Linked DNA regions of Oryctolagus cuniculus. The protein of the gene in region 1 purifies or fractionates together with the protein of each later gene. This does not show direct contact. Links are inferred from orthologs where the notes say so. Each region holds a gene or a part of one and is shown in the gene's direction. Other genes may lie near its edges. The genes, in order: CSNK2B, RPS6KA1, NKAPD1, EIF3J, RPS6KA3, SSRP1 and ARK2N.

The links.
Region 2: the proteins of CSNK2B (region 1) and RPS6KA1 purify together in Homo sapiens (affinity purification with mass spectrometry; 4 studies listed by BioGRID and IntAct, with this or other methods). This does not show direct contact. The link is inferred for Oryctolagus cuniculus from reciprocal best matches to the Homo sapiens genes CSNK2B and RPS6KA1.
Region 3: the proteins of CSNK2B (region 1) and NKAPD1 purify together in Homo sapiens (affinity purification with mass spectrometry; 3 studies listed by BioGRID and IntAct, counting the BioPlex papers as one, with this or other methods). This does not show direct contact. The link is inferred for Oryctolagus cuniculus from reciprocal best matches to the Homo sapiens genes CSNK2B and NKAPD1.
Region 4: the proteins of CSNK2B (region 1) and EIF3J purify together in Homo sapiens (co-immunoprecipitation; 3 studies listed by BioGRID and IntAct, with this or other methods). This does not show direct contact. The link is inferred for Oryctolagus cuniculus from reciprocal best matches to the Homo sapiens genes CSNK2B and EIF3J.
Region 5: the proteins of CSNK2B (region 1) and RPS6KA3 purify together in Homo sapiens (affinity purification with mass spectrometry; 5 studies listed by BioGRID and IntAct, with this or other methods). This does not show direct contact. The link is inferred for Oryctolagus cuniculus from reciprocal best matches to the Homo sapiens genes CSNK2B and RPS6KA3.
Region 6: the proteins of CSNK2B (region 1) and SSRP1 fractionate together in Homo sapiens (co-fractionation; 5 studies listed by BioGRID and IntAct, with this or other methods). This does not show direct contact. The link is inferred for Oryctolagus cuniculus from reciprocal best matches to the Homo sapiens genes CSNK2B and SSRP1.
Region 7: the proteins of CSNK2B (region 1) and ARK2N purify together in Homo sapiens (co-immunoprecipitation; 3 studies listed by BioGRID and IntAct, with this or other methods). This does not show direct contact. The link is inferred for Oryctolagus cuniculus from reciprocal best matches to the Homo sapiens genes CSNK2B and ARK2N.

The regions. Positions count from the first base shown.
Region 1 is NC_091436.1:138,947,093-138,951,379, reverse strand, and holds the start of CSNK2B (casein kinase II subunit beta), read left to right. Parts: upstream 1-1,487; 5' UTR 1,488-1,506; coding exon 1,507-1,578; intron 1,579-2,643; coding exon 2,644-2,746; intron 2,747-3,306; coding exon 3,307-3,422; intron 3,423-3,829; coding exon 3,830-3,905; intron 3,906-4,049; coding exon 4,050-4,239; intron 4,240-4,287. UniProt on the Homo sapiens protein: Regulatory subunit of casein kinase II/CK2.
Region 2 is NC_091438.1:144,950,243-144,953,742, reverse strand, and holds part of RPS6KA1 (ribosomal protein S6 kinase alpha-1), read left to right. Parts: intron 1-1,716; coding exon 1,717-1,797; intron 1,798-1,931; coding exon 1,932-2,011; intron 2,012-3,310; coding exon 3,311-3,417; intron 3,418-3,500. UniProt on the Homo sapiens protein: Serine/threonine-protein kinase that acts downstream of ERK (MAPK1/ERK2 and MAPK3/ERK1) signaling and mediates mitogenic and stress-induced activation of the transcription factors CREB1, ETV1/ER81 and NR4A1/NUR77, regulates translation through RPS6 and EIF4B phosphorylation, and mediates cellular proliferation, survival, and differentiation by modulating mTOR signaling and repressing pro-apoptotic function of BAD and DAPK1.
Region 3 is NC_091432.1:104,018,910-104,023,152, forward strand, and holds the start of NKAPD1 (uncharacterized protein NKAPD1), read left to right. Parts: upstream 1-1,443; 5' UTR 1,444-1,582; exon of another isoform or gene 1,583-2,142; intron 2,143-3,312; 5' UTR 3,313-3,320; coding exon 3,321-3,389; coding exon of another isoform or gene 3,390-3,396; intron 3,397-3,970; exon of another isoform or gene 3,971-4,243.
Region 4 is NC_091443.1:67,490,370-67,493,869, forward strand, and holds part of EIF3J (eukaryotic translation initiation factor 3 subunit J), read left to right. Parts: intron 1-37; coding exon 38-152; intron 153-3,500. UniProt on the Homo sapiens protein: Component of the eukaryotic translation initiation factor 3 (eIF-3) complex, which is required for several steps in the initiation of protein synthesis.
Region 5 is NC_091453.1:6,322,380-6,326,364, reverse strand, and holds the start of RPS6KA3 (ribosomal protein S6 kinase alpha-3), read left to right. Parts: upstream 1-1,185; 5' UTR 1,186-1,530; coding exon 1,531-1,599; intron 1,600-3,985. UniProt on the Homo sapiens protein: Serine/threonine-protein kinase that acts downstream of ERK (MAPK1/ERK2 and MAPK3/ERK1) signaling and mediates mitogenic and stress-induced activation of the transcription factors CREB1, ETV1/ER81 and NR4A1/NUR77, regulates translation through RPS6 and EIF4B phosphorylation, and mediates cellular proliferation, survival, and differentiation by modulating mTOR signaling and repressing pro-apoptotic function of BAD and DAPK1.
Region 6 is NC_091432.1:14,784,035-14,788,291, forward strand, and holds the start of SSRP1 (FACT complex subunit SSRP1), read left to right. Parts: upstream 1-1,457; 5' UTR 1,458-1,545; coding exon 1,546-1,599; intron 1,600-2,030; coding exon 2,031-2,216; intron 2,217-3,193; coding exon 3,194-3,299; intron 3,300-3,551; coding exon 3,552-3,742; intron 3,743-3,831; coding exon 3,832-4,062; intron 4,063-4,257. UniProt on the Homo sapiens protein: Component of the FACT complex, a general chromatin factor that acts to reorganize nucleosomes. The FACT complex is involved in multiple processes that require DNA as a template such as mRNA elongation, DNA replication and DNA repair.
Region 7 is NC_091441.1:31,335,697-31,339,966, reverse strand, and holds the start of ARK2N (protein ARK2N), read left to right. Parts: upstream 1-1,470; 5' UTR 1,471-1,732; exon of another isoform or gene 1,733-1,942; intron 1,943-4,270. UniProt on the Homo sapiens protein: AMPK substrate important for exercise capacity and skeletal muscle function.

The DNA.
Region 1 (4,287 bases):
AACCTGGGAAGCCAGCTTCTGGCTTAAGAAAGTGCCTGAGACGGAGGGAAACCTGTGGAAGGCCGAGAAGTTGTGAAATGAAATAACGCCACACTACCCCCTCACCATTACTCGGAGCAGGTTCGAAGGGCACGCGTAGAGCCCTCAGCTGAAGACCCCATTCAAGCCCTGGGAGGAAATGGAGAAGTGCAAGGGGACGAGCAGCAGGATGGCCGGCGCCGCCTCAGGTTAGCGCACCGGGCCGTCCTGGTTGTCAATAACGCTCAACTCAGGACAGACACACCCGACCCAGGTCCCTCAGCACGGAGCCCGTTCGTACCTCCCACCTCAGAAGGCCCGAGCTCAGGGTAAAACGTGGGGCTCTCCTGTGCAAGGCCGTGCCCGACTTGATAAGAACTAGGAGGGTTGGCCAGGGCTCACTGAGGGTCCCCGAGGGCAACGTCTGCGACCCGACTCGCCTCGCTTCTTCCCCCGCCCCCTCTTGGCCCCTCAGTCCAGTGAGCATACGACTCTATTTCCCAGGCTCCTGGCCCCGAACGCCTTACTTGGCTTCCGCTTCCGGTGGCGCCTCGCTGTGCCCCGCCCCCGAGCCGCGTCCTCGGGGGCCTCGCGACACGAGGGTCGTGAGTGAGCTGTCCTGGGATTCGTAGTTCGCTTTTCCCTCGCTTCGCCGGTCTCTCGCCCTAGCGGACTCCATCTCCCAGCGTCCACCGCGGCTCTCGCCCCTCGGCGCTTGCGCGTTGCCCTCTTCCCCACCCTCCCCGATTTCCACTCCCCCCACCCGACTTCGCCTGCCGCGGTCGGGTCCGCGGCCTTCGCTGTAGCGGTCGCCGTCGTTCTTTGGAAGCAGCTGTTCCCCTCCCCCACCCCGGTCCCGCTCCCCGTCCAGCTGGTGAGTGTGAAGTGGTTGCCCCGCGGAGTTCCCGGTCCCTAGGAGCGGCACATGGGGTCTCCCCGCCTTGAGGTGGGGGCGAGGAAGGAAGTGACCCGGTCCGTAACCGTGGGAGGGAAGGGTGGCCGGAGAGCGGGAGGCAGGCTGTGGGGACTCCGTGAAAGAGTACCTGGCGGTGCCCGCCCCTCGCCCCGGGTCGTGAGAAAAGGAGGTGTCGGTCGTTGCTTGGCAAAGATAAACTTCTAATTCTTGGGGAAGGGTGCCGGAGCCCTGCGGTGGTAGGGAGCCCGAGCCGAGGACTCTGCCAGAGTTGACACAGGCGAGAGGGGTCTGGCCATCGGGGGCGCGGGGGATGTAGGTAGGGACTGCTGGGTCGGTACTTGTGGGCTCCTGCCAAGGAATTTCTAAGTTCATTCAGAGAAAAGGGGCCGAGGTGTAAATAACAAGAGCTAGAGAAGCCTGTCCCAAAGGCTGGGATCCTTTAAAAAAAAAAAAAAAAAAAAGGGTGGCCCCAAATTCTTCCATGGCTGAAAGACAGAGTGTGGGAGGAGGGAAGGTGCCAGAGCCGGGGAGGGAGAGCTTGGACTTGACTCCTGTTTCCAGCTGACGTGAAGATGAGCAGCTCGGAGGAAGTGTCCTGGATTTCCTGGTTTTGTGGGCTCCGTGGCAATGAATTCTTCTGTGAAGTGAGTGCTTTTCGTTCTTCCTACTCGCTGGTTCCATGCGTTCAGGTTGGGTATCTTCAGCTTTTGCACACTTTATCCCGTGGAAACTCCTTCCCGTGAAAGAAGGGGTCCCCTCAGTAACCCCCCACTAATCAGCGGCGATGTGGCAAGACTGGGGCCCAAGTCCCATTTCTGTCACACACCCCACCGCACCCCCAGGAGGATAACATTGAACTAGTCAGACCATCTTTTTTTTTTCTTTTTCTTTTTTAATTTTTTTATTGTACTTAAAGTATCTGAAGGTAGAGCAACAGAGAAAGTGAAGGATCTTCTGTCTACTGGTTTATGTCCCAAATTTCTACAACAGCTACTGCTACCAGCCAGGCTGAAGTAAAGATCCCAAAACTTACCTGGGTTTCCCATGTGGGTGGCAGGGACTCAAGTACTTGTGCCATCACCCTGCTACCTTCCAGGGTGTGTGTTAGCAAGAAGCTGGAATTGGAAGTGGAGTTGGGACTTGAACCTGAGCATTCCAGTTTGGGATGTGGGTTATCTCTAACCATGTAGGAACCACCGTGCCAAGTGTCCTTTCTCCTTTGCTTTTTCATTACTAGAATGCTACTGGTAGTGCTTATCTCTGGGGGCTGTTAGGAGAATTGGAATACTGCACCTTAAAATGTTCTGTAACATGCAAAGCTCTGTGTTGACATAAGGAATTCTAACCACCTTCAGAAACCAAGCTGTTCAGCCTCCACCTTCCTCAGAGAGCAGCTGTTCCCTCAGGAGAGGACAGAACTGGTTCCTAGAGATGAGGAACAGGACTAGAGACGCGGGAGTCGAGTGTGTCTCTAAGGAGACTGCTGTGCTTGCTTGTCCTTGGAGGAGAGAAGCTGGAGCTTTCACGGGGGGGAGGGCGTGCGTGTGAACTCGGGACAGCGGCTGAAGTACTGACGCTGAGTTGGAGTAGGAAACAGGCAGACCAGACGCAGCCGTGTGGCCGACAAGGCGTTCGTTAGGTGACCTTGGCCAGCTCAGAAGCTGGGGGTCCCAGTAGGAGTTTTCCTCTTGACCTCCGTGTTCTACCAGGTGGATGAAGACTACATCCAGGACAAATTTAACCTTACCGGCCTCAATGAGCAGGTGCCTCACTATCGACAAGCTCTAGACATGATCTTGGACCTGGAACCTGGTGAGACACCCTCAAGGTTCATGGTGGGGGGGCTGTTTTTCTCTTCAAATTACCTCTTGAATTTACCTCTTGAATTTCTAAACTTCCTTTTGGTTCTCTGACACCCTTAACCTCAAAGTCCCAGCAGCATTTTTGCCCCCCTCCTTGAATTCTTGCCTAGTTTTGTGACTGATAGCACTTGCTGCCATACTTTCTGAATTTGTAGCTCAGCGCTCCTCCTTATGCGAGTTTCCTCGCGGGTCTTGTTTACTGCCTCTTTGCCTGCCTTGCACCCTCCAGTCTAGAGTTCCACCTTCTGTGTTGACATCTTTGTATTTACGTACTAAGGAAGGAGTTGGGAGGGAGAGAAGAGAGCAGAGGCTGAAGAGGTGTGGAGAGAAGGCTGGGCTTCCTTGGGTTGGTGGAAGGGGCAGAGACCCAGGTTAAATGCCCACGTGAGGACTGGGTGAAGCTCAAGGATGGGTGCTGGGCAAACTGGGCAGCCAACAGCCCTGGGGGTGGGCGGGGCACCTGGGAAAGCTGGAACGCCAGTGGTTGCATGTGGCTGGCCCATATTTCAGACGAAGAGCTGGAAGACAACCCCAACCAGAGCGACCTGATTGAGCAGGCGGCCGAGATGCTTTACGGATTGATCCATGCCCGCTACATCCTCACCAACCGAGGCATCGCCCAGATGGTGAGGCCTCTCTGCGCCTGCGTGACTCCTTGTGAGGCAGTAAGGGAAACAGGTTCCTACAGTGAGCAGTAATCTGGCAGCCCTGTCAAGGAGTCGAGCTGAGATGAGAAAAACCCAGAGTTTGGGCCGGGAAACTGAGTCCTCCCTGGACGTCCTGCTGAGGGGGTGTCTTCAGGGAGGGCGATGTGAGCTTGGTCAGAGTTGTGGACTGCTTCTTCCTCAGAGAACAGACGGCAAATGGCCCTGGATGTCATTAGCCTCCCTAACTGGGGGGAAAGTTGGTGGGCCCCTTTGATCTGCACAAGGACCTCCAAGAAGAGGGAGGAAATGTGGAGGACAGAGTTATGTGGGGGTCGCTGCTTATCCTCATACCCACCCACCAATCCCTTCCATTTTTTTCCCTTCAGTTGGAAAAGTACCAGCAGGGAGACTTTGGCTACTGTCCCCGTGTATACTGTGAGAACCAGCCAATGCTTCCTATCGGTGAGTATTGAAGAAGGGAGAGGGGGCACCATCTGGCAGTCCTCTGGGAAGGAGTTGGGCTCAGCAAGGCGGGAGCTGAGTTCTGGGGCAGGGGACTCGGCAGTGTCGCGGGTGCCTGGCCTGCTGAGTCTGGCTGTCTCCCAGGCCTGTCGGACATCCCAGGTGAGGCCATGGTGAAGCTCTACTGCCCCAAGTGCATGGACGTGTACACACCCAAGTCATCGAGGCACCATCACACGGATGGTGCCTACTTCGGCACTGGTTTCCCTCACATGCTCTTCATGGTGCATCCCGAGTACCGGCCCAAGCGACCCGCCAACCAGTTTGTGCCCAGGTGGGGAGCAGACAGAGTCACCATGTGTCAAAGGAAAGACTCAGAATC
Region 2 (3,500 bases), on another chromosome or scaffold:
CTCTCTCACTCTCTCATGCTCTCTCTTTCTCTCTCTTAACTAATGCAAATGAACAAAAGCCAGTGCTTTGAAGAGGAAGTCCAGCACTCTTAGTCTGAAGTTAGCCTGAAGTGACATTAGTCCTGGTCAGAAGTAGCTGGAAGGCCCTCGTCCAGCTTGGGAGGCTAAGGGGGAGGTGAGACCTGACTGAGGGCAGGAAGACCAGCTGATGTCTGAATCAAGATATTTTTGGTAAAGGTTTATTTATTTGAAAGTTACAGAGAGAGGTAAAGACACACACACACACACACACACACACACACACAGGTCTTCCGTCCACTAGTTCACTCCCCAAATGCCTGCAATGGCCAGAGCTGAGCCAATCTGAAGCCAGGAGCTAGGAGCTTCATCCAGGTCTCCCACATGGGTGCAAGGGCCCAAGGGTTTGGGCCATCTTCTGCTGCTTTCCCAGGCCATAGCAGAGAGCTGGATTGGAAGTGAAGCAGCCGGGACTTGAACCGGCTCCCATATGAGATGCCAGTGCTGCAGGCTGGGGCTTTAACCTGCTGCACCACAGTGCCGGCCCCAATATTTAAATATTTTTTTTTTTTTTTTTTAAATTTGAAAGGCAGAGTTACAGGGAGAGAAGGAGAGAGGGAGATCTTCTATCTGCTGGTTCACTTCCCAAATGGCCGCAACGGCCCAGGGCTGGGCCTGGCTGAAGCCAGAGCCAGGAGCTTCTTCTGGGTCCCCATGTGGGTGCAAGGACCCAAGGACTTGGGCCATCTCCATCTTCTGCTGCTTTCCCAGGTGCATTAGCAGGGAGCTGGATCAGAAGTGGAACAAATGGGACTTGAACCAGCGGCACTCAGGGATGCCAGTGTCACAGGCGGTGGCTTCACCCTCTACGCCACAGCGCCAGCCCTGCAACTTCTATTCTTTAAAAAAATAAGAAAGGGGCTGGCGCTGCGGCGTAGCGGGTGAAGCCTCCACCTATGATGCTGGCATCCCATTTGGGCACCAGTTCGAGTCCCGGCTACTCCACTTCTGATCCAACTCCCTGCTAATGGCCTGGGAAAGCAGTAAAGGTGGTTCAAGTGCCTGGGACCCTGCACCCACATGAGAGACTCCGAAGAAGCTCCTGGCTTCAGATGGGCCCGAGCTCTGGCCATTGCAGCCATTTGGGGAGCGAACCTGTGGGTAGAAGACCCCTCCCTCTCTCTCTTTCTCTCTGCCTCTGCTTTTCAAATAAATAAATAAATATTTTAAAAAATAATAAAATAAAAAAATATGTGGGGAAGCCCACCCAGACCTGTGGCTCAGAGTCTTGGGCCCAGGGAATCTGTCTCCCTAGTCAGCTTCCCGGGTGAGCATCCGCGCCAGCCGCTTCTAGAATCTGGGCTTTGTCTGCTAGAGGACAGGGGCTGGTCGAGGTGCCAGGGAAGATGTGGGGCTCTGACAGCGTGGTGCAGAGGGACACGGGTTGTTCAGCCTGGCCGGAGGCGTGCTGGAGCGCAGGGCTAGACAGATGGGCACTGCCGAGGGCTGGGGGCTGAGAGCAGGCCTGGAAGCCGGGACCAGACCCGGAACGGAGGAGGCAGTGTGAAGTCAGCGTCCCCAAAGCCTGGGGCACAGAGCCCCAGGAGCTCGGGTCTAGTGAGAGCCCTCGGGTGGCCCTGGGGAGTGAGTGGGTGTGCCGTGTGTCCGGCACCGGGTGACTGCCTCTCCTCTGGCCAGTGCGCGACCGCGTCCGGACCAAGATGGAGAGGGACATCCTGGCCGACGTGAACCACCCCTTTGTGGTGAAGCTGCACTATGGTGAGACTGCAGCCCTTCCCCGAACTCCCGCACCAGCCCGCGCTCACCCTGGCCGGTGGTCTACACTGTCCAAGCTCCCACCTGCAGGCTGAGGGGCAGGTCACACGGCCGGTGACTCTTGCCCCTCTCCCCAGCCTTCCAGACAGAGGGCAAGCTCTATCTCATTCTGGACTTCCTGCGCGGTGGGGACCTCTTCACACGGCTCTCAAAAGAGGTGAGCAGATAACCCACTGACGGACCACAAGGCCTCCCACTCCTGGGTCCCGTACGGCCTGGGTGTGGAGCCACCTAGGCCTCCCCAGGTGAACCTGATCCAGGCCTTGTCCGGCCTGGCAGCGCCTCCGAGAGTTCCTCCCCAGTGGATGGAGGAGGGCTAGGCCCTGGGTCTGATGTTCACCGACTGGGGGGAGCTCAGGGTGCCTCTCCCCTGTGTGTCTTTCTTCTTCCAGGCTGCCCTGGGCAGAGCTGGGAGCAGCCAGGAGAAGCCCAGATGTGGCCGGCGCCGCGGCTCACTAGGCTAATCCTCCGCCTAGCGGCGCCGGCACACGGGATTCTAGTCCCGGTTGGGGCGCCGGATTCTGTCCTGGTTGCCCCTCTTCCAGGCCAGCTCTCTGCTGTGGCCCGGGAGTGCAGTGGAGGATGGCCCAGGTGCTTGGGCCCTGCACCCCATGGGAGACCAGGAAAAGCACCTGGCTCCTGGCTCCTGCCATCGGATCAGCGTGGTGCGCCGGCCGCAGCGCGCCGGCCGCGGCGGCCATTGGAGGGTGAACCAACGGCAAAGGAAGACCTTTCTCTCTGTCTCTCTCTCTCTCTAACTGTCCACTCTGCCTGTCAAAAAAAAAAAAAAAAAAAGAAGCCCAGATGCACCGAGAAAGCGGGAGACTCGCACACTCTTGTCCCACCTGTTAGCCAAAAGATTTTGAACTGATATAAAAGGATTTTGAGCCAGATACGAAAAATACGGTCATTAACACAATTCCAACTTTAAAGAGAACCAAGCTTTAAAACAAGGGTGGGGGGGGGGGGGTTGGTTTAAACCTTATTGCGGTGTTTGCATAGGTAAAACATTTACATGATTCAAAAGAAAAATATTTATGGGGAAGGCTTCCTCCTACCCCAGTGCCCTGTATCCCCTATCAGTAAACATTTTTATTGGTTTCTTGTTGAACCTTCCCATGTTTCTTCTGCAAACAAATCCCAGGTGTGTTCTGAATCGCCGCCGCTCTGGATACCATGCCCCCTGCCTCGCTGCGTTCCTTCCAGGCTGTGGGAAGCTCCTGTCCTAGTTCATAGCTGTGCACCAGTCCTTCTGCAGGGGCCAACAACACAGTTCCTCCCAGGCTTCGGCCCTGGGACCCCTGGGCTGTTTCCCGACAAAGACCACCACCCTGGGCAGCCATCATTTCATACTTCAAACCCCGTGATGATACGGAGGGCCGAGGAGGCTAGACCCTAGGGACAAGGAAGCTGCTGCCTGCCCAGGGCCCACTGAAGCCCCTCGCGCCTCTTGCAGGTCATGTTCACAGAGGAGGACGTGAAGTTTTACCTGGCCGAGCTGGCGTTGGGTCTGGACCACCTGCATAGCCTGGGCATCATTTACAGAGACCTCAAGCCTGAGAAGTGAGTGACCCCCCAGCCCCACCCTGGCCTCCCTCGGGGGTGCACAGACAAGGGCTGGGGCCTCTTCTAGAACAGGGTCACCT
Region 3 (4,243 bases), on another chromosome or scaffold:
AGAACCGGCGCCCATATGGGATGCTGGCACTTCAGGCCAGGGCTTTAACCCGCTACGCCACAGCAATGGCCCTACGTATTTTTTTTTAAAGACTTATTTAAGAGTTAGAGAGGTCTTCCATCCACTTGTTCACTCCCCCAAATGGCCACAAATGCTGGAGCTGAGCACATCTAAAGCCAGGAGCCTGGAGCTTCTTTGGGGTCTCCCACGTGGGTGCAGAGTCATCTGCTTTCCCAGGTACATTAGCAAAGGAGCTGGATTGGAAGTGAAGCAGCTGGGACTCAAACCCGTTCCCGCTGCAGGCTGGGGCTTTAAGATGCTAGGCACAGTGCTGGCCCCGTGTTTTGTTTTGTTTTGTTTTGTAATTTATTTTATTTGAAAGGCAGCTGAGAGATCTATCAACTGGTTCACTCCCCAAATGGCCCCAATAGCCCGGTCTGGGCCAGACAGAAGGCAGGAGCCTGGAACTCTATCTGGGTCTGAGCTGGATAGGAAGTGCCACAGCCGGGACTGAACTCTAACCAGTGTTCATATGGGATGCCGGCATCGCAGACAGCAACTTAACAGGCAAGCCCCAAATGTTTTCCTTATTCTGTCATTGGTTAGTAGCCTTTACAAAGTGCTCCAGTTGTCCTCTCAGATAGGGCCTTACCTCCACTTGGACCGTCAAAAACCCCAAGGGAACAAAGCAGTCACTTTAAGTCTGGATTTCTTGGTGATCGCCTTGTTCCTACACCCTGAGTATTGGCTGAATGGTGCATCCTCAAACGTGAAATCGCCAGAATTGTGTAGGGGTGAGTACCACAGAATTTCAGTCCTTTAGTGGATAGAGAAGGCCCGGGTTCCAATCTCAGCTCTCTCCTACAAGCAGTGTGACTTCCAGTAATTAATGTACGAAAGTGCCTCAGGTGTTTTTTTTCTTCTTCTTCTTTTTCTTCTCTTAAAGAAGGAATACTTCTCTCCTTTGGGTCATTGTGAGAACCACTTTACGGAGAAGCTGGAACACTTGGATGACCTATGAGTAACTCCTCTAGGTCTTGGGATGACCCTCCTCGCCCCGCCCACCCCCCACCCCCCCACCCCCCGTCAGAGAGGTGTCCCACAACATCCCTGAAAAGAGCCCAAGAGGTTTAGAGTCTTCCAGTACTATCTTAGTGTTAGACTAAATAGGAAATGCAATTAACGGGCAATCATTCCTAAGGTCCGCAAACCCACCTCTTCTCGGTTCCCAAATCGCGACACTTGTTTCCCGGGTAACCGGACTGGGTACAACACCTAATTGGGTCCGGGAAGCTCCAGGCGGAAAGTGTTTACATCTAGTTCCGGAATCTCCCCTTCTGAGGTCCGGCTTACTTTTTAGCTGAGCCGGACTCACTTGACTTCCAAGAAAGGGCCTGCTTCCCTTCTGCAGGGGTCGGCCCCTAGACTGCCCAGGAAATTCCCCAGCGGGAGTCGCCGCCGCTCCCGTTGGTGGGAAGAATTTCTCCCAAGCACGGCTTCCGGCCTGAAAGGGAAGCCCCCTCCTTTTTCTCCCAGACCGCCTCCTCCCCCCCACCCCCGCCACGCGAGGCTGCGGCGCACGGTATGGGTGTGTTTGTGTGTATTTGTGTGGGGAGGGAGTTTATAGGGAGAGTCACCGGGAGCTCCAAGGCCGCTGGGGGACAGGGATCCCGGTGACAAAGATGGGGGTGTTTTCTCTGTCTTCTACCTGGAAACCCCAAAGGCCCCGTCAGGCACCGTAGACACTTCCTGGGGCCCAACGGAAGGTCGTACCACTCCAAAACGTCCCCCTTCTTTCCTGGGGAGTGAAACCCAACCCCCGGTGTCCGTTCCAGCGGAGCGTCAGCGGGCGATGCCCCGGTCAACCGGGCGGTCCGGGTTCCGCGCCGGCGCAGCCTCCGGCCTCAGCCAGGAGAAACATCTGCCTGTCGGGCTGGGCTGGGGCGAGGCAGCCGTGGCCTGGGCCACGGGTGAGGGCAGAGTAACCGGTGGGAAGGCTCCGTTTTCACGAAGGACTCGGGTGAAGCTGCAGAGCTGCCTTTGAGCCCTGACTCCTTGGCTTCCTGGGTCGATGGAGATCTTGTAATGGAGTGGTTCTTCGTCTCACACTAACAAGATGCCTGATTACCTCAGGATCGAGGGGTGAGTGAGCGTTGGGGTGGTCGCACAAAACCCCTGGTGACCACACACGTGAATATTCTTGTTAATCTAGTTTTAGGAAACTTCTGTACAAAATAGGATTGACGATGCCCCGAATGGAGAAATTTCGGTCATCTTGCATTTCATGCCTAAAAGGCATCAGTTTCTGTAATTGTAGACGGGTAGTTTCTGACGCTATCGAATCTGGGTGTTACTTCATTGCAAACTTTGGGGTTCCAGATTTGACATCTGATCTGGACATTGATATATAGTCGTTTGCATGAGGCAAGTTAGAACTTGAAGGGAGCTTCATCTAGAAGATAAGAATGGAGATATTATACATTTGGCCTTTGGTACCGGTTTCTGCATTCTCGGATTCAAGGAACAGCAGGATGAAAATATTTGGGGGGGAAAATTGTCTGTACTGACTTTTATTCTCATTATTCCCTAAACAGTATAGCATGATAATGATTTCCATGGCGTTTATGTTGTATTAGGTATTAGAAGAAATCTAGAGATGCTCTAAAGCCTACAGGAGATGTCATAGGTTATATGCAAGTACTGTGCCATTTTATATGAAAGTACTTCAGAAAGTTAGTGGAAGATGGAATTAAAAGCTAAGTTTACTTTGTTGCCAAAAAAAGAGAGAGAAATCCATGCATATGAGGGGTTCTTTAAAGAGTTCATGAAGAATGTATATTGTAAAAAAAAAAACTATATTGATTTCAAATACTTTTTCTACCAAAGTAGACATACCTTTTAATTCAATTTTCCATGAGCTTTTTGAAGTATCCTTGCATAAGGGATTTGAGCATACATGGGTTTTGGTGTCTATGGGTGGGGGGTTGGGGGTGGTGATGGTTCCAGAACCAGTTTCCATGATTATTGAAGGATGACTGTATTTGCCTAATATAAAATAGAGTTATTATGAGGATTAAATAAAAGGTGCTTAATTTTGTGCAGTCTTGTTCAAAGAACTTTAATGTATGTTATCTTCTTTCATCCTTACATTACAGGCTATTCCCCCCTTTAATGGTAAAGGAAAAACTATTCCTCTGACTTCTAGTCCAATGTTCTTTGCTTTACCTCATGCTTTTTTATGAACTTTAATAAAAGCAATGGTAGTAAGGTAAAGGAAATACTTACTAAGTGTTATCTATTGACTCATTTCAGATTGAAGAATGTCCCGGGTTCCTTTGGGGAAAGTCCTCCTGAGGAATGTCATCCGGCACACAGATGCTCACAATAAGGTGGGAGGTACAACCCAGTCATTCCTCAACACTTATTGAGATCATACAGTGTGACAAGGATTGTTTTGATACAGTTGAGGAGTCCAAAGTGAATGAACAATTTATTATCTACTTAAATAGATAAAAATAGTTTCATAAGTATTATATAGTAGAGATAGCTGCAAAGTACTTTAGAGTACCAAGGAAGGAATAAGGAAATCTGTGTTGGGGAATTAGAAAAGACTGCACAGGGAGCAAGCATATAGCCTAGCTGTTGAGACACCTACGACCCACATTAGAGTATCTGGGTTCAGTGTCTAACTGCAGCTCTTGACTCCAGCTTTGTGCCGATGCAGACCCTGGGAGGCAGTGACAATGGCTCAACTAATCGGTTCTGTCCCCTCATGGGTGACCTGGACTGTGTTCCCAGCTCTCAGCTTCAACCTGACCCAGCTCTGGCAATTGAGGGCATTTGGAGAATGAACTACTAGCGCGCTCTCGCCCGTGCTCTCTCTCTCTCTCTCTCTCTCTTAAATTTTCATCTATTTGAAAGGGCGACAGACACACACACACTGATATCTTCTATCTGTTTTACTCTTCAGATGCCTACAACAGCCAGGAACTCCATCTGAATTTCCCACTGCATGGAGGGGCCATCATCTGCTGCCTCCTTGGATGCATTAGCAAGAAGTTAGATCAGGGGACCTTGGCGGCTGCCACGGCTCACTTGGCTAATCCTCCGCCTGCAGCGCCGGCACCCCGGGTTCTAGTCCCAGTTGGGGCACCGGGTTCTGTCCTGGTTGCTCCTCTTCCAGTCCAGCTCTCTGCTGTGGCCTGGGAGGGCAGTGGAGGATGGCCCAAGTGCTTGGGCCCTG
Region 4 (3,500 bases), on another chromosome or scaffold:
AATTCAGCTCTTTTAAAACTTTTCTGTCTCCTTTTAGTTAGAAGAACCAGAAGAACCCAAAGTGCTAACACCAGAAGAACAATTAGCAGATAAACTGCGGCTAAAGAAATTACAGGAAGAGTCAGACCTTGAATTAGCAAAAGAAACTTTTGGTAAGTTGAGGGTGCAAAAAAAAATGATGAGGGTACAGATTAGTGCAGTATTAAACTGTTCCACATGGAAATTCCAGAAGTTTTACTAGTTACGAAGAAAAAAAAATTTTTTTTTTTTTAAGATTTATTTATTTATTAGAGAGGCAGAGGTAGAGAGACAGAAAGAAAAGTGTTCCATCTGCTGGTTCACTCCCCAGATGGCTGCAACGGCAGGAGCTGAGCCAATCCAAAGGTAGGAGCCAGAAGCTTCTTCCAGGTCTCCCATGTGGGTGCAGGGGCCCAAAGACTTGGGCCATCTTCTGCTTTCCCAGGCCATAGCAGAGAGCTAGATGGAAAGTGGAGCAGCCAGGATGGGATGCCAGCACTGCAGGCAGCAGCTTTACCTGCTATGCCACGGCACCGGCCCTGAAAACATCTACTTTTTTTTTTTTTTTTTTAAAGAAAACAGTAGTAGCTAATTTAGGTATTAGAAAGCAGTTTTTAATCTCTTTCTGTATGTTTGAGACTTCATTACTTGAGAAGGTAGAGTAGGGTATGTGTTCAGACTTTTGAATAATTGTTTTGAGTTTCAAAACAGATTAAGATAGAAAAAGTCGATGGACTCAAAGCACATTTTTTTTTCCTTAAGATTTATTTATTTGAAGGCCAGAATTAGAGGCAGAGAGAGAGAAAGACCAAGATCTTCCATATGCTGGTTCACTCCCCAAATGGCCACAATGGGGGGAGCCGGGCCAATCCAAAGCCAGGGATCAGGAGCTTCCTCTGGATCTCCCACGTGGTTGCAGAGGCCCAAGCACTTGGCCATCTTGTACTGCTTTCCTAGGCTATAGCAGAGAGCTGGATTGGAAGTGGAGCAGCCAGGACTCAAACCAGCACCCATATGGGATGCTGGCACTGCAGGCAGTGGCTTTACTTACTACACTACAGTGCCAGCCTCCACACTTCCTAATAGAATATATTCATCAGCTGAATGAGATTTGGATGAATTGCAAGGTTTGTGGCCTTGAATTTTTTTTTTTTTTTTTTTTTTTTTTGTGGCCTTGAAATTTAAATACTGAACTGACTGTAGGGCTCTCCTGTTGCCTTAAGAGACTTAGACCACAGCTAGGGCACTCAGTTTGGCTGTGTCTTGTGCTCAGGATGGTTTCTTTCTATGACCCTTTTGGCTCTCACCATGGCATATATCTTTAGAGGACCTCCATTTCTATATTGTACCTGCAGCAGTGGTTAGTGCATGAGATAAAAGAAACCTGTAGGTCCTATAAATAAATACATTCAGAATGCTCCAGGGGGGAGAGTTCCATGGCACAGAAGGTAGACATGGCCCGAGCTGAACAAAAGTTTATTGACGTTGTTACTTACTGAATGCTTTTCAGAGAAGTTTGTAAAGTTTTTGAAAGATTTATTTATTTGTTTGAAAGGCAGAGTTAGAGGGAGACAGAGAGATGGATGGATGGACCTTCCATCTGCTTGTTCATTCCCCAGATGGCTGCAGTGGCCAAGGCTGGGCCGGGCTCAAACAAGGAGCTTCTTCGGGGTCTCCAAAATGAATGCAGGGGCCCAAGCACTTGAGCCGTCTTCCACTGCTTTCCCAGGTGCATTAGTAGGGAGCAGCCGGGACTCTAATCGTTGCTCATTCAGGATGCCAGTGTTATAGATGATGTTAACCCACTGCACCACAATGCTAGCCCCAGAATAGAATATTGCTGAAATTAAAAACCTTGAGGGGCCGGTGCTGTGGCACAGCGGGTTAAAGCCCTGGCCTGAGTGCTGGCATCCTCTATAGGTACCAGTTTGAGACCTGGCTGCCCCACTTCCAATCCAGCTCTCTGCTATGGCCTGGGAAAGCAGTAGAAGATGGCCCAAGTGTTTGGGCCCCTGCACCTGCATAGGAGACCTGGAAGAAGCTCCAGGCTCCTGGCTTTGGATGAGCACAGTGCCAGCTGTTGCAGCCATCTGGGGAGTGAACCATCAGATGGAGGACCTCTCTCTTTGTCTCTCTGTGTAACTCTTTCAAATAAATAAATAAATCTTTAAAAAAAAATCCTTGAAATTGAAGTCTATATAAGAAAGATCTGCTTATTCTTTCTCCCCTATCCTTTGTCTTATCTAAAATGGATCAAGCAGGCTGACTGTTGTGATTGTTCCGTTTTTATGATTTATTTATTTGAAAGGCAGTGTTAGAGAAAAGGATAGAGAAAGAGATCTTTGATCTGTTGGTTCACTCCCTAAATGGCCGCAATGGCTGGAGCTGGGCTGTTCCACAGCCAGGAGCCAGAAGCTTCTTCTGAGTCTCCCGTCAGTGGGGCTTTAGCAACCTCAAGCGTTGTGGATGCTCCTGTGTACCAGCGTATGCTTGGCAGGTCTTCAGTGTGTTCATCTAATTCTAGAGGGCACTCAGCCATTATGTGTTTTTATAGGATGGTGAGAACTGCCCTTAAAGAGGTAGGTTTATGCAGTGTACAGAAAACTTAAGTGTGAGACATCAGCTTCAGATTAAAAGGTAAAATCAATATACACTCATTGTCTTTGGCTTACCGGATTCTACTGTTCATTCTCTCATACTGAAATTCTGAATCTGTGGTATTAACAACAACTAATTTTCTAGGTACTGAGAAGGATGGAAAGCATACTTATCCCCGAGACTGAAATTCTTTTAGGTAGATTAATTTTTCTATTGGTATTTACCACATGGTTTGCCCCTGCTTAGCTTCTACATTTATTAAAATGTCTTGGAATTTATTTTCATTTTATTTGATAGGCAGACAAGGAGACAGATCTTCTATCTGCTAGTTTACTCTCCAAATGCCAGCAATAGCCAGAGCGGGGGCAGGTTGAAGCCAGGAGACTGAAGCTCAGTATGCATTTCTCATTTGGGTGGCAGGTACCCCTGTACTTGAGCCATTACCTGCCGCCTCCCAGGATGCATGTTCACAGGAAGCTTGGTTGGAAGTGTGCCAGAACCAGGCATGCCAGTATGGGCTATGGGTGTCCCAAAGGAACCTTAACGGCTGAGCTTCTGGATTTAGTGAACTGAATATTTTTACAGAATCCATCTTTGTTTCCTATGCCTTATTCCCTTGTCTCCCCAATTTATTGTGGGTTATTCTTGGATAGCCTTTTCATGAGAGCATCCTTTTCATGATATGGATGCCTTTAGCAGCTGATAAAACCTGTGGACCTCTTCCTAAAATACATATTTTAATTAAAAATTTTTCCTTTATATTTGCATGGCAGTAGGAGATCTTCCATCTGCTGATTCATTCCCAAATGCCTATAACAGCTGAGTCTGCATCAGGCCAAGGCCAGGAACCAGGAACTCAGTGTTTATCTCCATGTGGGTGGCAG
Region 5 (3,985 bases), on another chromosome or scaffold:
TGCAGGGCGATTAGCCAGGGGCTGCAGTAGCTTTCCACTCTGCGCTGTGACTTTTACACATTTCTGCCCAGGCGTGCGACCCGCAGCACCTGGCGAGGTGAACACGGAGTCGCAGCCCCCTGGGATCCACTCTGGATGCCCGGGCCTCTGCCCCTCCAAGCTCTCTGGGTCTTCTGAGGCTCTGTCGCTGTTTGAGGATTGGGTTTCCTTAACGCAGGGCTTCCCCATCTTGGACAGGAGGAGGAGTCAGAACCCCTCCCCTCCCTCTCTCTCTCTCCTCCTCCTCCACCCACGCCAGCCCGATTTTAATCTAATCTTTTATTTAAAGTCAACAGAGGAGCAGGAATCCTGCGCTCTTGCCCACAAGATATTCTTTAATAAGTCCCCAACCTCTGCCGAGAGGGGCAGCCTTAAGGAGCCTGCCTGTTTTCTCCTTGAAGATTTAGGTAGCAGGGAGTAGGACGCTTCGAGGGTTCCGGCAGAAGCCTGAGCGCTCTGCGCACTTGGGGAGGGGAGTTGGCCGGAGACGGGGCGGGAGGGGTGGAGGACGACTTGTGTAGGAGAAATGAATTCTAAAGCTCAAGAATTTAACACAACAGCACCAACTTGCAGAGCTTTGTATCAAACCGGGAGCCGTTCCGAGGCACTAAGCCTTCCAGATCCCCATTGGGGAGAGCGGGCAGGTGAATGCCCAGCGTGTGACCCTGGGGAGGGAGAGTCTTGGGTCATTATGGGATGTGCCCATTGACTAGGCGCGCCCGCACGCACCCTCGGAGGAGACAGGATGAAAAGATACTCCGTGCCCGCATCCCGGGTCCTTGGCAGGCGCCTTGCCTATCTCCCTTTCCAATTGGGCGAGGGCCACTGTTCTCTGTCGTTCCCAAGGCACCTCCGACCTGCTAGGACCCATGATAGCTCCCAGCCTTTCGCCCCCTCCTGCCTTTTCCATTTCTTTCCTCCGCCTCCGGCCGACGCCCCCAGATCTCTTGGGCTCGCCCTTCCTGAAAGTAGGCGAGGCCCAGAAGCTGAGGCTGGGGCGAAGACCGAGGAGGGTGGGAAAGGGGAGGAGCGGAGTGTGGCTGCCCGGGGGCGTGTTCTCCGCTAGCCCCACCCCTGGGTGCGCGCGGCGGTGGCGGCGGCGGCCCAGCCTTGCTCTGAGAGACAGGTATCGCTTAGGCGCCATGTTGTGAGCGGAAGTGGGGAAGCGCGCGGCGGTCGCTGTTCTGCTGGGAGCGGGCGCGGGAACCGGCGGCGGGGGGCGGAGCCGTAGTCCCAGCGGCGGAAGGAGGAGAGGAAGAAAGGGGCGAGACCCAGTGCCCGGCGGCGGCGCAAGGCTCTCGCTCGGCGTGCGGGCGTCTCCAGCCAGGCGCTAGGCATTCGGGCGATCGGTGTCGGCGTCGAGCCCTCTGCGGGGCCGCCGCTGCTGCTGCTGCTGTTGCCGCCGCTGCCGCTGCCGTGGGGCTCGGGCGGCGACGGAGCGGGGCGGGCGGGGAGGGAGGAGGCGGTGAAGGCAGCGGGCCGGGGGGGAAGATGCCGCTGGCGCAGCTGGCAGACCCGTGGCAGAAGATGGCTGTGGAGAGCCCGTCCGACAGCGCTGAGGTGAGTGCAGCGGGGCGGCCGGGGTCGGCGCGCCCCCGCCGTCTCGCTTCCCTTCCCGGAGCTGGCCACTTGGCCCCTTCTCCCGCTCGCTCTCCCCCGGGTCCAGGATTCCGGTTCGGGTTGTTGGGGTTGGTCTGTTTGCCCGTCTGTCTGTTCCTCCCACTCGCACCCTCACCTCCCTCCCTCGCTCGGGGGGCTGCCGGTGTGGCGGCGCGTGGGGTGTGCAAGAAGCCAATTATCATCAACTTTGCGTGGGGGGAAGCGGTAGGCGGAGTGGGGGGCAGGCGAGGAGTTGGGAAGTTTGGCCCTGCCGGGTCGGGGGCTTCCTTGGATCTTGGCCACTTTCCGGGGGGCCGAGGGTAGGCTATGGATTGGGTTCAGCGGGGAGCAGGGAGTCTGGCCGAGGGAGGGGGTTGCTGCGGGCAGACTGGCGCACCGGGGCATGAGTGTCGACCCTAGGGCGTTTCGGCAAGGGGTGCCGGACAGCCAAGGGTTTCGCCTCTCCTCCTCTGCTCCAGCGCTTTCTGCTGCGGCAGGGGACAAAGTGGAAGCCTAAGGTCTTCTGTCTCCCCTTCCCCCTTGTTTCTGAGGTCCCTGCGAGTTTAACTTGAGTTCCCCGTGCGTGGAGGCATGGAGGTGAGAGGGTGATATTCAAGGAGATCAGCGGCTGCCGTAAAGGGCTTTCTGGTTTCCTCTCCCGGGAGCTGGTGACCGTCCCCGAGACACTCAACCAAGTGCCACGAACCCATACAGTACACCCAAAGAGGGGGCAGAGCAGAATCTCCCCGGACGCAGCGCAGCCGCCCCTGTCCCAGAACCAACTCGGGGTCTGCGACAGTAATCCAGACCAGAGCTGTTCTGGGTATCCGCGCTCCCCTCCGGAGTGGAAAATCAATTCCTGATGGTGGCGCGTCTGTGATTCTTCCTTCTTGACTTTTTGCTGTCTACTATCTCCGCAGCGGACTTTGGAGGATTACAGGATGATAGGCTGCGTGTGTGTAATAGTTAGTGAGTGACCCCATTTCTGGAAAGCATGACTGAAACGCGGGGGTGGAATGGGGCAGGCTCTGAGTGGTGTACTTGGCGGCAGCCGCTGCCCTGCAGTGTGAGAGGTGGATAGGGTTACTGGTTACGTCAGTAAAAGCCAGGCTCAGTTTGATCTGAGATGCGGGACACTTGCATTCTCCGGTATAATGGAGGGGGAGGGGGATCGGTTCAAATTGCTTTTCAGTTTTTTCCCCCAGTCACCTCCGCTGCTGTATAAAAATGTTAACTTGTTCTCCTTAAGGCGAGCAGAGTTGTAATAATGCTTCCGATCGGTGCTTAGTATTTTGTGTTTTGGATCGTACTTCAGAACCTAAACTAAAAGCTGCTCTTCCATTGGAAACACAATGATACTTATTATCTAAAAGAAAGAAAAAGAAAATCATTTTTTAGGACTGGCAGATTTACAAGAATTTCATTTAAAATTGTTAGCTCACCTAATACTAGAAATCTTTTATAAGCAAGCCAAATTTGGAATGTGTAATCATCGTTTGAATGGATAGTGTGCAAAACAGTATGCCAGAGGGCTGGTTTTTCCCTTTAACTTCAAAAATGTTTTTGCATTAAATATAGGCAAAGGTTAATAAATGTTCTCAAAGCACTGAACTTGTGCAAAGAACTTGAATTTGCCTTCAGACTGATTTTTTTTTTTTAGATAGACATTAAAAGTTACAACTCAGATCCACATTTCTGCTTGGCATGTTTCAATATGTAAAAAAGATTATTTCAAATTCTACTTTATCCTTTTTCTGTATAGCATGCATTTGGATGAGGTAGGCACAACACTAGTATTAATTTACTTAGCACCTACTCTATGCCAGGTACTATGCTACATTCTGTTTGATCTTTTCCTTCATATGACCTGGTAGGACAAGGTTATGGTCTCCATTGTTAGAAATTAGGGAACCAAGTCTCAGAAGTTAAGGGCACAGAGATTATAAATAGGAAATGGCAGAGCCATCATCTGAAGCCAGGTGGCTACAGTTCAGGTGCTTTGCTTTATATTAGGATAACTACTTCAAATCCTTTGTGGAAAACTTTGGGCTATAAGTACATAAGCAGTAGTCAGAGGTCCTGTATTTTTCAGAAACAAGTCTCATTTATTAAAGCCTTGTTATTGCAGTTACTGTCATGTTTTCCCAAACCTGGCAGATAGAATTCTACAATTTGCCATTTTCTTGTTATTCTGTCATAAAGTATGTCAAACAGAGCCAATGTTGCCTAGATTTATTAAAACTAGATTTTGACTAATTTCCTTTCGATATTTTGTTTCCTTTGGTTGTTCATGATCTGATACCATTTGGAAAAATAGAACCAGTGAGGAAAGAATTGAGAATTTCCA
Region 6 (4,257 bases), on another chromosome or scaffold:
CTTATCCCAGGACTGAGTTAGCAAGCTGGTGTAACCAGCGTCAGGGAAATCTTGAGTTTAAATATCCCGTGTAACGAATGCTTTTCTGCAGGACACATGGGCTCAGTGGCTCGGGACGTAAAACCACTGTGGTTACAGCAGAAGAGAACGGGACCGGAGTCCGAGGCGGCTTCCTGTCTCCACCTGGGTGGCCGACTCCCAGAGCCGCTGGGCAACTGCTCTCCGCAGGAGGCTGGAGGAGATAAACTCCAAACCTCTCTCCCAGCTCAGGCCGGCTCTGATTTTGCAAGGTGCACCTCTTCCAAGATGAGCTCATGTGGTTTCCAATCAGTTCTGGCTCTAAGGTGAACCCGACACCAGCGCTCGAACTCGATCCTGCCATTTGCCAGTCACTACCAGCGCCACTGCGGTTACAGAGGTGCAGAATTTGGGTGTAGACGGTGAACTCATTTCAGAAAGGATCAATCCCACTTAGCAGGGGGCAGCCGGCCAGCAGGCCTGCCACAAAGGACACGAACGCCCGCACGCGTTTCTCTCCGCAACTCTGAGGTATTTTTCTTCGTGTTCCACAGCTTCCTTTCTACCCCTAGAAATTAACCCCTACAGAAATTAACCCCCCAACCTCCGAAATCTGACAAAAATAAAGCCACGGTACACGATTTCCCTTTAGGATCCAGTCTCCGCTTGACGTGTCCGCAACGTTCTAAGAAGCCCGATGAGCCTTCATTTTCTAGTCAGTCGGACTTCACCGCTACCGCCCCGGCCTCGGGTCCTCCAGCGTCGCCGTCGCTCTAGGCGACTGTCTCTGCGGCGGGCCTGGTTGGCGTCTCTCTAGCCAGCTCATCCTCTCGATGGTCAGTGCGCGGCTTCCGGTGGCGGGACGCGGGGCCGCGCACGCGGGAAAAGCTTCCCCAGCTAACTCCCGTTCCCCGCGTCCCCGCCCCCCTCCCCCGCATCCCCCGAAGCGCCCACCGCCCGCGCCCGGCCCGTCGCGAGGCTGCAGCTTGAGGAGGTGGGTGGTCGTCGTCCCTGGGCCCCGCTCCCCCGCGGGACGCTCCGAATGGGCCGTTCCGCGTTCGAATCTGCAGGCAGCGGGCGAATCCATTTTAGCAGGAGGGGAGAACCATGAGGGCCAGGATGGAACCTAGCGCTCTGAGCTGGGTTGGGGCGCGGGAGATGTGCACGCTGCGGGCAGGCCTTGGGGTTCCGCTGCTCGTTACCATGGCTCCCGGTGTGGCGCGCAGAGAGGGTGTTGGCTTGGGGTGGTTCTGCGGGCCTGGGATTACCGGGGCTGACCCCCGGAGCACGGCACAGCCGGCCTGTTGGTTCCCGGGCAGAGGAGAGTCTGTGAACCCCCAGGGGCGGCCACCTGGCTCCATCCGTGAGCAGAGCGCGGCGCTGCGTTTCATGACTCTCTCTTGAATTCAGATTCCCAACCTGCTGACCATCTGCACACTCACCCAGGACTTGGGGCCCAGCGCCCAGTGTATTCGGTTTCCCTTGTGAGGCCTAGGGCTCTGCCCAGGCCACCAGGGGCAGGTCAACATGGCAGAGACACTGGAGTTCAACGATGTCTATCAGGAGGTGAAAGGCTCCATGGTGAGAAGGGCTTGCGTTTTTAATAGAGATGGAAGGAGGGAGCGAGCTAAAGTTGATGTACATGAACGAGAGCTTGTCCTGGTGACGTTTCTACTGGGAAAAGGAAGTCTCTGTATAACGTGCACCTGGTGTTTCCCCCCAATAAAAGGCAATTCTGAAAAGTCGCGAGAGTTGTAGGATCTCAGGGTGTGAAGGGACCGTATTTGCTATTCTGTGTTTCAAACGAGGAGACTGATGGCCTGCGCAGGTTCTGGATGCCCGAGCCAGGTGCAGAACCGAGACTTCCTGGACACTTGTGTCTCTTTACTGGTCCTCGCTTCAGCTGTTGCTCCTGCCCTGATCACCTGGCAGTCAAAGTGAATGCTGGGTAGAGCTGCACCCAGGACACGGTCTGTACTGTCCCCGTGCATCTGGGCTCACTTTCCCAACAGAATGACGGTCGGCTGAGGTTGAGTCGCCAGGGAATTATCTTCAAGAATAGCAAGACGGGCAAAGTAGACAACATCCAGGCTGGGGAGTTGACGGAGGGCATCTGGCGCCGGGTGGCTCTCGGCCACGGACTTAAACTGCTCACGAAGAATGGCCACGTCTACAAGTATGACGGCTTCCGAGAATCGGTGAGACGCCCTGTTGCCGTGAGCCCCCTTTTTACCGTGCCATCCTGTCTGCTTTTAGTCTTCTAGAGGGAGTTGAGGTTCCCTCTGGTAGCCCCCGTGGTGCTGGTTTGGCTCCCTGGGCAGGGCCATTGAGGCCATTGAGCAATCAGTGGGTCAGCTCTGAGTGTTCTAGAGCGTTCACAGCTTTTCTGTGTTTTGGTTCCAGAAGATCTGCTTCCTACTGTTCTGGTTTAAATCGTGCTTTCTGCTTGTTTGCTCGTATCCAGGTTCAGAATCTTAGCTGGATGCTTTAGTTCAGGCTTTGCTTTTCCCTCTTAAACTGTTCTGAGTGAAAGACTTAACTTTAATGTCCACTTCTATTAAAACAATGAACACACAAAGTTTAGGAAGTCAGATAACATGGTGAGGTCCAGAAACAGGAATGCCAGTCCCTCTCTTTACTCCTCCCCTAGTCTGAGGTCCAGCTCCCAGGAGCAGCCTCTCTCCACAACCTTTTAAACCATTTCAGAGCTGAGCTGCTGAGTCAGCATGGACTTTTTTTTTTTTTTTTTTAAGACTTATTTATGTATTTGAAAGGGAGAGTTACAGAGAGAGAGAGAGAGAGAGAGATCTTCCATCCACTGGTTCACTCCCCAAATGGCTGCAAAGGCCAGGGCTGTACCAGGCTGAAGCCAGGAGCCAGAAGCTTCTTCTGGGTCTCCCATGTGAGTGCAGGGGTCCAGGGGCTTCGGCCATCTTCTGCTTTCCCAGGCGCCTTAGCAGGGAGCCGGTTCAGAAGTGGAGCAGCTGGGACTTGAAGCAATACCTTTATGGGGTGCTGACACTGCAGGCTGTGCCACAGCACCAGCTCCCTGCATGGATTTTTTGGTAGAAGTCCTATTGGGGCAATTTTTTGGATATAGGTAATGTCAGGACATTCGTGTCGGTTAAGGCCACTGGAGCTGACTGTGGTTGCACTTTCTCCCTTCCACTCATAGGAGTTTGAGAAACTCTCTGATTTCTTCAAAACTCACTATCGCCTTGAGCTAATGGAGAAGGACCTGTGTGTGAAGGGCTGGAACTGGGGGACGGTGAAGTTTGGAGGTGAGTCTTGGGGAGCAGGTAGGATCAAGGGCTGCAGCCTTTCTTATTCTCTTCCTCTGCCACAGTCTCCGGTTTCCTGTCGGGTGGGTTGCTCAATGCACCTGTGGTGTGTCAGGCTTTGTGCCTGGTCTCGGGGTGCAGCGTGAACAAACAGCCCCGGCACCCCGCCCTTACGGAACTCCAGGTTCGGTGGGCTTCTTGTCGATGCAGACGTGGGGGGAGCCTGAGGCTTGAGCAGCCCTCTTCTCACAGGGCAGCTGCTTTCCTTTGACATTGGTGACCAGCCGGTCTTCGAGATACCCCTCAGCAACGTGTCCCAGTGCACCACAGGCAAGAACGAGGTGACGCTGGAATTCCACCAGAACGACGACGCGGAGGTGTCCCTCATGGAGGTCCGCTTCTACGTGCCTCCCACCCAGGAGGACGGCGTGGATCCCGTGGAGGTGAGGCCTCCCCAGGCGCCCCGGTGCAGACGGGGCTGAGCAGGCCATGGGCTGGCCTGCTGCCGGGTTAACAGTGTGTGCTTCGGCAGGCCTTTGCCCAGAACGTGCTGTCCAAGGCGGACGTCATCCAGGCCACTGGAGACGCCATCTGCATCTTCCGGGAGCTGCAGTGCCTGACTCCCCGTGGTCGTTACGACATCCGGATCTACCCCACCTTTCTGCACCTGCACGGCAAGACCTTTGACTACAAGATCCCCTATACCACGGTACTGCGTCTCTTCCTGCTGCCCCACAAGGATCAGCGCCAGATGTTCTTTGTGGTGAGCAGAGCCCCTGGGGGCGGAGGATCCCGATTTTTGTCTGAGGACTTTCTTTTTTTTTTTTTTTTTTTTTTTTTTTTTTGACAGGCAGAGTGGACAGTGAGAGAGAGAGACAGAGAGAAAGGTCTTCCTTTTGCCGTTGGTTCACCCTCCAATGGCCGCCGCGGCTGGCGCGCTGCGGCCGGCGCACCGCGC
Region 7 (4,270 bases), on another chromosome or scaffold:
GGGTCTTCCATGTGGGTGGCAGGGCCCCAAGCTTCAGAACCATCATGCTGCCTCCCAGGGTGCACATTAGCAGGAAGCTGGATTGGAAATGGAGCCAGAACTTGAACTCTGGCTCTCCAACATGGGATGGGAGCATCCCAAGTAGTGAGTAAACCACTGCACCAAATGCAACTCCTCCCTTGTCTCTCCTGACCCTCCAACTCCGCCCGCCCTGCGTGTTCTCTTGGGTTACAGGAATGGACCCAGTTTTGGAGATCAGTCTCTCACTTTGCAGGCGTCCTGGACTTGTGGTGGGCCTGGCTCCATGTACTGAGGCTTCTCTGTTGTAACGAGGAGGGATTTTGAGAGACCTCCCTGCAGAGCTGGGCTCTTGCCCTTCTGATGACTCAAAGGACTAATGGAAGAAACCACAAAGCCTTTGGACTTGGACTGAGCCATGCTAGCAGCATTCCAGGAGCTCTAGCCGGCAGATGGGACTTCTCCGCCTCACAATCACATGAACCCATTCCCCTGAAAAATCCCCTCCTCTTGCCCCCTTTCTCCCTTCCTCTCCTTACCCTCCCCTCTCTTTCTCTTCCATTGTTTCTACCTCTCTGGAGATCCCTCATGCAGACCTGTGACTTGTTAGTAGCAAACAGAATTTGGTAAAGGTGAAAACATTTCGCAGATATAATTAGGTCTCAAATCAGTTGATTTTCTTGAATGAAAACATTGATTATCCTGGGTGAGCCTGACTTCATCAAGCAAAAGGCTTTAAAAGAGAGACTAGACCCTCCCTGTGGTCACAGACTGTCCCAATTGTTGGCTTTGAAGAAGTCATGAAGCCCCGTGGAGAGGCCCCTTGGCAAGGAACTGTGGGCAGCCTTGAATTGCAAGAGTATCCACCTGGCTACCAGCAAGAAAATAGGACCTCAGTGCTACAAGAGCAAGAATACGAGTTCTGGAAGCCACTGAGGGAGCCTGGGAGCAGGTCTTTCCCCGTGTGAGCCTCTGGTGAGGCTGCAGTCACAGCTGACATCTGGGTTGCAGCCTGGTGCAGCCCTGGTACAGAGGAGTCAGCCAAGCGAGTTCAGACTCCTGATGGACAGAAACCGAGCTAATAAGTGTGTGTTGCTTTAATCTGCTAGCTGGTAGTGATTTGTTATGCATCAATAAAATTCATGCACTAGGCACGTCCCATAACTTCCCTGTGTCCAGTTGCTTTCTGGAAACTGGGGAGATGGTTGCACTAGTCATGCCTCAGAGTCCCTCAGGCTCTCGCTCTATGTATGAAGCTTTGGTGCTGAGAGACAAGATCTGTCCTCCAAGGGGTTGCACGTGGGATGGGGGTGTGGGTGCCAAGAAGGTGTGCCATTGGGGTTGCTGGTGCCCAGGCAGAAAGACAAGCAGAGAGCTGAGGCCCCGCCTCGTGTTCTCAATGCCCCATCTGCCGGGCTGGCCACTGCCCACAGCTGGCACAGCTCCGACTGCAGAGGCGATCGGCTTTCAAGAGCAAGGAGAACAAAACATCCTCTTTCCCCTGCCCCGCAAGGCCAGCGCCACTATGCTGGACACCTGCCCCCGTTTCCGGGGATTTAGGAGGGGGCAAAGAGTCCGCTCTTCGCAGAGTCTGTCTGGAGACACCCAAAGCTCCTGGGCTGGTGACTTCTAGAAACAGCTGGGAGAACTCACGGGAAGCTGAGTCAAGGAGGCCATCGGTTTCCTGCCAGCTCGCAGCAAACTTCAGGAGCAGGTGAGGCTGTATTCTGTGCTCTCTCACCCAGTGCATCTGCCAAATCTCCCTGCTTCCAGTTCCGGGGGTCCCAGACCACCCATGCCCCCCAGAGGTGGAGTGGTGGACCTCTGCCTTCTGTCCCCTCACCCTCCCTCACCAGCCGTATGACACCCTCTTCCCACTGGCTCAAGGGATTGTCCCTTATTAAATTCCTCGGGGGATGATCTCATTAAGCCCTGCTACGGGTCACTTCTATTTCAGGGAGAATAAGTGTGTGGCCCTCTGTGGGCAGCTGGCTAACTGAAACCTGAGGAAGAGGCTGGGGGGTGGAGGAAGCCTCCAGTGTGGGCAGTGTCTGGCTGAGTGAGGTGAGGCCAGGGGTACTCAGGAGAGAGCTGATAAGGAGGAACACACAGGCCATGGGGGGTGGGGGCGGAGAGATAGAAGCCACTGTGGACTGCAGCCTGATCTCCCCAGATAGCCTCCCTGCTGCCTCCCAGGCCACCCCACCCAGACACATGAGTCCTGCCCAGCACGAAGTGATAAGGACCCAGGCCAGGATGTGGCAGCAGAGATGGAAAAGCAGGAGACATGAGAGAACTTGGAAACAAATTTGATAGGGATGAAGCAGAGGACAGAGCCCAAGATGACCTTTAAAGATCCCTGGAGGAGGAGGAGAGGTGCCCGGGTACCAGCCCGGCAGAGGCCTCACAGCAATGCCAAGTTCACCACTCTGTTGTTGAAAGACCCTCTCCTCACCCATTTCTGAAAAAGCATTTTCTGTCTCCAGTCTTCTAATTCTTCTGCCATTCATCTCTTTCATGCATGCCCAGTGTATTCAACCCCTAGAAATTCAGATGGACTGGGGCTCACACCCTCCCCCCAAGCCTGGCCATGCAAATGTTTAAACCGTTGTGCTGGTTTGCAGGACAGCTGCTGTGGGAAGGCACGGGAGGAAGGTTTGGGGTTGGGGACCTTAAAGCCAAATGAACTTGTGACTTTTGTTAATGCTGGCAGATATGTGACTCCTAATTGCGAGGCCCTTGACGAATCTTGGAATCCCCCAAGCCTGGCTTTTATCATCCCTAAAACCAGGAAGTGGACTTAGACGATTTCTTCTTTGTTGTATGGATGTGAAAGGGCCTTAAAAAGTTAGTTTCCTGCACAAATAGGAGGGAGTTCTTTCTTTCTGAAAACAATAGCAATGTGGCAACCACAGGGTGGGCGTGAGTTGTGGGGTGGGGCCTCCATGCCTTGCCTTGCCAAGTGAGCCACAATTCTGCTGTTTCTGGCCTCTTTATGGAAGAAGAATGACCTGCCTGCTTGGTAGTTTTCGGGGAAGGAACTGGATACGCTCAGCAAAGCCAGCAAGGACTTGCCTGCCTACAGAGAGGGGATATTCTGGGCTGCTCATCAGGTCCCACATCTGCCTTCCAGGGAACCGGGGGGACAGTACAGCACCCCTTGCAGCTAGGGAAGGGCTGTCTACGTTAGCCACAAGCATACTAGGAAGTGTGTGGGGCCTGCAGGTGTGCACCATGTCCTCCAACAGAGATTCTACCCGCCATAAAGTTGATATTTAAATATGGACTGGGCAGGTGGTTGGCACAGTGGTGAAGTCACTGTCTGGGCTGCCCCCCATCCTGCATCAGAGTCCCTGGGTTTGAGTCTCAGATCTGCTTTCAACTCAGCTTCCTGAGAATGCACACCCTGGGGGCAGCAGGGGTGGCTCAAGTACTTGGGTCCCTGCTACCACATGGGGGATCCAGATGGTGTTCCATGCTCCTGGCTATGGCTCAGCCCAGTCCTGGCTGTTGTGGGTGTTTGGAGGAGTGAACCAGCAGATCTTTTTCTTTGTCTCTCTGTGTTTCAAATAAATCGATCAAACCTTTTTAAAAAATTAAATCACCTACTACCTGTGTCTTATTTCTTAATTGGTACAAAACCACAGATGAGGAAGAGATTTATTACACATACTTCCACTCCAGCAAGGAGAAAGAAGACACATCCAGAAAGTCCAGGTTCTGAAGTTTTCCTTCCTTGGGAATTCCATTCTTTCTAAACTCCTCTCACCACTGCCTTCAACACTCCCAAACAAGTGTCTACTTCTAAGCACGCTCATTCTCAGCATGCCTGGCTCCATTGTGATACCTTTCTCCAATGCTTTTCCTCTTCTCTATGCTGCAAAATTCTCTTCATTCTTGGAGTCATGGCTCAGAGATCTCCTCCCAGGTGAGGCCTCCCCACAGAAGCCCAGGCTGGGTCAGCAGCTTCCTTGTCTCGGTTCTAGTAGATGTGGTGCATATTTCTATTACATGGTCATGTAGTCCTAATGCTAGGTGACCTCATGTCTGTCCTGCCCACTGGGGCAGATCGGGTTGAGCCCTGCACGTGGAAGGACCTCCTCTGGTCACATCGGTGGCCTGGGTGCCCAGCCTGGTGGGTGGCTCCACAGGCATATAAAAAGCTCATGGAAGGAATGAAGGCGAGATGATGTTTTGACATATTTATCTATGTGTTTTCCATAGTATTCTGCCCTACCTGATCTATTGCAAG